2 linked regions of the Macaca mulatta genome follow. The protein of the gene in region 2 purifies or fractionates together with the protein of the main gene of each other region. This does not show direct contact. Links are inferred from orthologs where the notes say so. Each region holds a gene or a part of one and is shown on either strand. Other genes may lie near its edges.

Evidence for each region. The genes of interacting proteins can lie anywhere in the genome.
Region 1: the proteins of USP1 (region 2) and PHLPP1 purify together in Homo sapiens (affinity purification with mass spectrometry; 6 studies listed by BioGRID and IntAct, counting the BioPlex papers as one, with this or other methods). This does not show direct contact. The link is inferred for Macaca mulatta from reciprocal best matches to the Homo sapiens genes USP1 and PHLPP1.

The regions. Positions count from the first base shown.
Region 1 is NC_133423.1:17,992,852-17,996,501, reverse strand, and holds part of PHLPP1 (PH domain leucine-rich repeat-containing protein phosphatase 1), read left to right. Parts: intron 1-1,885; coding exon 1,886-2,032; intron 2,033-2,653; coding exon 2,654-2,884; intron 2,885-3,650. UniProt on the Homo sapiens protein: Protein phosphatase involved in regulation of Akt and PKC signaling.
Region 2 is NC_133406.1:178,202,351-178,206,041, forward strand, and holds the start of USP1 (ubiquitin carboxyl-terminal hydrolase 1), read right to left. Parts: upstream 2,803-3,691; 5' UTR 2,530-2,802; intron 2,043-2,529; exon of another isoform or gene 1,446-2,042; intron 1-1,445. UniProt on the Homo sapiens protein: Negative regulator of DNA damage repair which specifically deubiquitinates monoubiquitinated FANCD2. Also involved in PCNA-mediated translesion synthesis (TLS) by deubiquitinating monoubiquitinated PCNA.

The sequences.
Region 1 (3,650 bases), on a different chromosome or scaffold from region 2:
CGTCTCCTGGGTTCAAGCAATTCTTCTGCCTCAGCCTCCTTCATAGCTGGAAGTACAGGTGCCTGCCAACATGGCTGGCTAATTTTTTTTGTATTTTTAGTAGAGACGAAGTTTCACCATGTTGGCCAGGCTGGTCTTGAACTCCTGACCTCAAGTGATCTGCCCACCTTGGCCTCCCAAAGTGCTGGGATTACAGGCATGAGCCACTGCACCCGGCTGAGGATAAGCATTCTTTTAAGAAGGACTGATGGCTCTAATATAAAACAGTTTAAGAACGATTATTCAGATTTAGCAATAATTTTTTCCTAAGTGATTTTTTTTTTAAATACTATTCTCTTATACTCAGCCATCCAAGTAAACAGGTATTATTTAAAAATCAAGGTAACACTCAACCTGTCAAATAGGTACATTGTCAACTTTCCCTTTAGAATCAACTTTTATTTAACTATTTAGAATACAGCTTAACATATGCTGATTGGGTTGAATTGCGTTTATTTTTGCAGTGTGTGTGTCTCTTCTAGGCAGAGTGCATACTGTCTAGTATTAGATGTGGGTAATCTAGTTTTTAAAGGAATTAGCATAACGCAGTCACTGATCTGATTCTTATCTCATTTAGAGATGGTGTAGAGGTCGTTGATAGGCCAAATGTAAGAGTGCACAGAGAAGTAAAAAATGAAAGATAGCTTCTTTAATTGCTTAAGTTGCTTGGGCAACTGTGAAAATGAAAGGGCTATTAACAAAAATAGAACAAAAAGAAGTGCCAGTTTGGAATAAAGATGGTAAGTTCAGTTTTGGGCTGGAAATGTGGGGTAGCTCAGGAGAGGAGCCAGCATGTGACAGGACTGAGAGAATTGTTCACATAGGAGTCAAAACATTTCCAAGGAAAACAGTGTAGAGAGAGCATGAAACTGATAAAAAAAAAAAAAACTATCTATGAAGATTACTTCAGTTTGAGTTGGGGAAGAAAAGATGAAGAAAAGGAAGTTAATACAGGAGAAGAAGGCTTAAGAGAGCTAAGAAGAAGGGTGGGTGGTCAGCCGCATCAGTCAATTACTGTACTGAGATCGACGAATGATAATTGGTTCTTTTTTGAGATAGAGTCTCACTGTGTCACCAGGCTATATATTCCAGGAGAGCAGTCTCAGCTCACTGCAACCTCCACCTCCCAGAGATTCTCTTGTGTCTCAGCCTCTCGAGTAGCTGAGATTACAGGCATGCACCACCATGCCCAGCTAATTTTTTGTGTTTTTGGTAGAGACAGGGTTTCACCATGTTGTCTAGGCTGGTCCCGAACTCCTGGTTTCAAGTGATCCACTCATCTCGGCCTCCCAAAGTGCTAGGATTACAGGCCTGAGCCACCATGCCCAGCTGATAATTGGTTGTTAAATTTGGAACTGCAAAGTCCTGGTTACCTTAGAGAGAGTATTGTTTTGATAAGTTTTTATTATTTCACTTTTGGGTTTGAGAAACATGAAACAGAAGTTTTTGACTTGTCTGGAACAGCACAGATTCCAGAAGGACTAACTCCAGCTCTGACTGGTCCCTTTCCTCCTTCACTGGGGCCATTTACACTGTGTTAATTAAGCTAATTGAGATACTGCTAAAAAACTTACTCCAGCAGAATTCACTTCCTGAAATATTCAACCTTATTTTAGAGGGAAAAGTTTGTTTTTAGATAGAATGTTTACATTTTAGGTAGAGCACTGGCCTTAGAGTCAGCAGATGTGCATTCCAGCGCTGCTGCTCCTTAACCTCTCTGGGGCCCCCATTTCCTCTTCAGTTGAATTTGGGAGTTGGGCTAGATTATCTCTTAGGCTATGCTAAAATTATGATGTTAGTGACATTTGTCTCTTTTTTCCCTTTTGGTTTTGCTTTATTTTAATAGGTTCACCAAGTTGAAGAGTCTTAATCTTTCCAATAATCATTTAGGGGACTTCCCACTAGCAGTCTGCAGTATTCCAACCCTGGCAGAGCTGAATGTGTCCTGCAATGCCCTGCGATCGGTCCCAGCAGCCGTTGGAGTGATGCACAAGTGTGTACCTCAAACCCCACTGGCGGGTATATCCAGAGACCCCAGGGAAGCTGCATTGGGGGTGTAGCACATGAGATTAGTTAACTTGTTATGTTGGTCATGTAAGTCTTGGCCCCAAATCAACAGATCAGGGACTGTATAGTCTGTATGGAGTTCATGTGTTAGATTTGTATTCTTTACGATCTTGTAAAAAATTAAATATTCTTGTTTAGAACTGAAGATCCCTGCAAATGAGTATGTCTAAACATGGAATGTGGGTTATGTTCTCATTTTTCTGAGTTATATTGAATTCAAAGACTTAGAAATTAATTTTGAGAAATAATAAGGAAAGCCCAAAGGATATCTGAATCAATTTATATCACAGTTAGCTCATGTTGCTCCCATTTAAGCCTATTCAGATTGGGAAAGCTAGTCATAATTTTCATTTTCAATAAAAGATTAAGATGCTTATCTCTGATTATTTCTCTTTGGTCCGTTATTGCCTCAGGCCCTGCCCTTAGGCATTTTGCAAAGAGTAATACATTTTCTGGTAATACGATCTACACTATGGAACTTGTATGTTGATAATAAAGATGTAAAATTTATACATTCTCTTTGTAATTCTTATGTTTTCTCTAATAGCTTACAGACATTTTTGTTGGATGGAAACTTTCTCCAAACCCTTCCTGCTGAGTTGGAGAACATGAAGCAGCTTAGTTATCTGGGTCTTTCTTTCAATGAATTTACTGACATTCCAGAAGTATTGGAGAAATTGACTGCTGTGGATAAACTTTGTATGTCCGGAAACTGTATGGAGACCCTTAGGCTACAGGCTTTAAGAAAAATGCCTCACATTAAACATGTGGATCTAAGGTAACCATTTTTGAGAAATAGATCTCATTTGAGCTGTTGGCTTATATTGCAGGGGTGGGGAGTAGGTTATTGACCAAGTCAAACAGGCTGGATAATTGAATGTGGACCCATTTTTCTATTTCTGCCTAGAGGGAAGAATTATGATTAATAGTAGGGTTTGCTGTTACTGGAGACTTTCTCACTGATGTATGTCTTGAAGGTCTTTGTTTTGCAAATTGGAACCCAGTTGAGTGAGAGAGCTATTTTTTGGTTTTGTTTTGTATTTTTTGTTGTTGTTGCTGTTTTTAAAGAAATAGGGCCTTGCTCTCTTGCCCCGCCTGGAGTGCAGTGATGTGCTCAGAGCTCTCTTTAGCCTCAAACTCCTGGGCTCAGGTGATCTTCCTGCCTCAGCCTCCCAAATACTCAGGCGTGTTCAGTTTCATCAGTGTAAAGTAGCATCACCTTTTGCTCCCTTTCTTCTCCATTCGTATGGCTCAGCCAAGGAAACCCATACCTTCCAGTCCCACAAAGAATTGCTTGGCTTCACCTTTCCTCAGAATAAAGGAATCAGACCTGTCCTTCCTAGGGAAGTATTAGCAATTTGCAGATATAAAATTCTTAATTTGGAAGTTAAAGTAATTATAATTTATCTGATTTTTGAGAATTTCTTGGAATGTAACAAGATAAGGAACTCTAAACACTTTGTTAACTTGCTTTCCAAATTGTTTACATTATTCGCCTCTGAGTTCCTTCTATTTAGAAAACCCTCATATTCCAGAATTTAAGC
Region 2 (3,691 bases):
CCTTTTCTAGTTATTAACATGAATACATGAAAATAAAGTACCTAAAAAGTTTATTAAAGTATAATTTGCATTCAAGGCATAGAGATGGTGTTAAGATATACCTAAAACCGTAAAGTTTTATTATCTTTCAATAATAAAACACATGCAAAGTTGAGACAGTGATACAAAACACTGTTGGATGCACTTTGTGTAAATCCAATTCTTAATGAGCCAGAAATCACAATACTCGTTTTCCAAACTTTTTTTAAAACTTTGGATTCCAAAAATAGTGCTTTGAGTAGGAAAAAAGATGATTTGGTTTGCCATTTGCAACTTTCCCACCCTGTTTTAAAGCAAAACTTTCACAGGAAAAAATATGGCAACATTTGTAGGAGTTACTAATATTTTCTACATCAGTCCTATTTTTCAGGACATGTGAGGAAAAATTATCTAACTAGAGTATTACCATAATAAAATTACTTAAAGCCCAAAACTTCAGCAACGAGTTTCAAATTTAAAATGCAGAGTAATAAAATGAACTACACAAAACTCACTCAAATTCCATCCTTAATAAGCATTTCACGTGGCTGACACTGATCTAGGAATTCACACTAAACTCAGCACTGAAACCATTTTTAAGACCCAAGTCAGGAAGAACTGGAAAAGCTGATCAATCTCCCCATTCTGTCTCCAACTTCACTTACTCTCCTATCCACCTAATGCTTCACCTAATGCTTCTGAGGAAGCGCTGTCTTCTAAATGACAAACTAACCTACGCTAAGTTCTCAGGGATCGCCAAGCATTAATGATTCTGATAAAATGTTTTTCTCGAGAGCCAATTCTAATGGATGACAGAAACTGGATCTCAAACCGACAGAGTAACCAGACTTCACAGGAGGGAAGAATGATTAGGCAGGTGAAATAGCGGATCGTCAGCTTAATCAACAAACCAAACCTCCTAGCCCCTCAAAGCAATGTTCACACCGAGAATGTAACATTTTGCCAGGTGCAGTATCTTCCGTGCTATTATTTCTTGCTCCTGGCTTTCCTTATAACTGGGGGGGGGGGGCTGTTACACGCAAAATATTTCTCCTGTAACTAAGTCAACTTTCGCAGAAAGCACGACGAAACGACCATTATCTGTTGACAGCGTGAATACTCAGTCCCAACAGTTTTAAATTCTTTTTGATATGACACGACTCGATTCCGATTTTTCAAGAAAAATATACAAGGACATCTTCGCCAAGGTTTAAGACGCGGCGTTCTAAACACTTCTGGAAAAAGTGTAAGTGAAAGAAAATGCGCGGTAAAATTTCGCAATTACTGACCGATCCAGGGCAACCTGCGTGGAAACGTTTATTTCTCCCCAACCTTCACCTCTCTCGGGAACGGAAAGGAAGCTGGAAGAACCAGCAGCGACTAGGCTGCCGGGCCGGGGGAGGCTGGCGGCGGCGTTCTCGGCCCACACCCCCGCGCCGGGCGCCCTCGCCGCGGAGTTGGCCTATTTACGCCCAGCCCGCACCTGCCTTCTCGCGTCCCGGCGGCGGCAAGACAGGCGCCCCGCCCGAGGCACACAAGGCTCCCGCTGGCAGCTCGACCAGGGTGCGAGGCCAACACGGTCCCGGGGGTCTCCCCGGCAGCTCCTCTCCCGCGCCGGCCGAACTTGCCCCCGCGCCGGGGCGCCGGCCCCTCCTCCCAGGCCCTCCTTACCTGGTCATGGCCCAAAGCGAGGTCCGCGGCAGTGACGCCGGCAAGTCCAACCCGAATGAGTGTGGGTGCGACAGGTGAGTCCCTGTTCCGAGTCCGCCGGGTCCCCCCGGCCCCAGGAAAATCTGGTCGGATCACCCTCCCCGCGGGGGAGTGACCATCCGCTCCCAAGAGCGGGAACCCCGACCGCCGCTCGGTCCCGCCTTGCACCGGCACCAACTACATCCCCGGAGCGGCGCCTATCCGCGCCCGCCCCGGGATAGCCAGGAGCGCAACAAGCAGCAGCCCCGCTCGCCGAGCGCCTGAACCGCTAGGGTCTTTCGCACTCCGCCACCGAGGGGAACTTGGCGCGTTTTCCTCAGTCTCAGGACCCCCGTGTTTTAGCCTCCGCCCGCGCCAGCGCTGCGATTGAACGTGGCGTCCTTTGAAATTGCCGGTTCCAGTCTCCACGCTGCAGAGACGCGAAAGGCAGGAGCCGTCTCGCGACGGTCACTCGCCCCCGGCACGCACGGGCTCCAGAGCCAGCTGGGACTGTAGCTCCCCAAGAGCCTAACGGGTTCCACAGTTTCAAACAGCGCAGGCAGAGAGCCGGGCAGCTCGTGCGGGTCCTCGCTAAGGGCGCGCGCGAGGTGCTAGCGGCCTGGCTGGCGGGCTCGAGCCTCACACCCTTTTTTTAACCATTCGTGCGCGCGAGTTGAGGGAAACGCGTACGGGTCGGGAGACGGGACAGAGAGCAGACGGGACGGGCCACCGCCTAGAGAAGGAGCCCAAATTCACCAATCCATGATGAACAATCCCCAAAACCGCGCCTCCCACCGCCCGGGGGAAACCAATCAGAAGTACCTAGACCAAAGCCAATTAGAAGGGCGGGAGCAGCAAGTCCCTCTAATAGCAAAAAAGAAGAAAGGTGGGCTCCAGCCAATCATTGTTCGACATACGGAGTGTTCCTCAGGCACGGCGCCCCTCCTTCCGCTCTCATTGGCGCTCGAGTGCGCGCTTTCGCTGCCGACTGTTGAAATCTTGTTTGGCGTTTTGTTAATCCTCGACGGTGGGACGCCGCGGAGGGTGCGGCTTCCGGAGCGAGGCCCTCGCGGCAAGCCCCGCCTCCCTTCGTGCGTACGCGCCCGGGCGGGGTGACCGAGAGAGCCGCTCCGGAAAATGGCTGCCTGGCTGCATGCCGGGGCTTCGCCCGGGCTTTCGGTTTGGAGTCGCGGCCACACTAGGCCTAGGGCCATCCAATGAGACAAGGCGCTGCCACGGATAACGATACATTCTCAGGCGAATGCTGTAGAGCTGAGGCCCACTCCTCAGCCCCTACTCGCCTCATTTTCTCCTGTTTACCCCTCCCCTTCTCGGCCGCAGGAGGAAACGAAAGAACAGTTTCAGGCCCAGCTCCGGCCGCGGGAGCTTCCCAGGGTTCCCGCGCGAGCCCTCCCAAAGAGTTCAGGAGCGGCAGGCAGGCCTCATCTGGTTGTGCTTCCTTTTGTGTTTGTGTGCTTGCTTTGATGAGGTGACCTCAGGTCAAGTGCTGCAATTAAGCAGGATACGTTCAGCCCAGATCCATTTAAATCAAGTATTTTTAAGGTGCCTACTATGTGCCAGGCATTTTTCAAGGCGCGAGGGATGAAAGGCATTCCCTGTCATAAAGGAGCATTACATTCTGGAGACGGAGACATAAGTGACACTAAAATAAGTGATGGGTACAATAGCCTGGAAAGATCTCTTTGAGTTGACATTTGAGCAGAGCTGAATGAAAGCTGAGCGAGCCTTGGAGGAATCTGGGGGAAGAATGGTGCGGGCAGAGAGAACAGCAAGTTACAGACGTCCTGAAGCTTAATGCGCTTGGTGTTTTGAAAAGAAGCAAGGAGGCCAGGGCGCTTAGAGCACAGTGAATTTGGGAAAGAAGATGGGAGGAGATGAGATGAGTGAGACAGGCAGGACCCTGGGTAAGCCGAGTAAGGAGATGGGAGTCGTTGGATTATTCTGAGCTGGGGAGTGGTGGGAT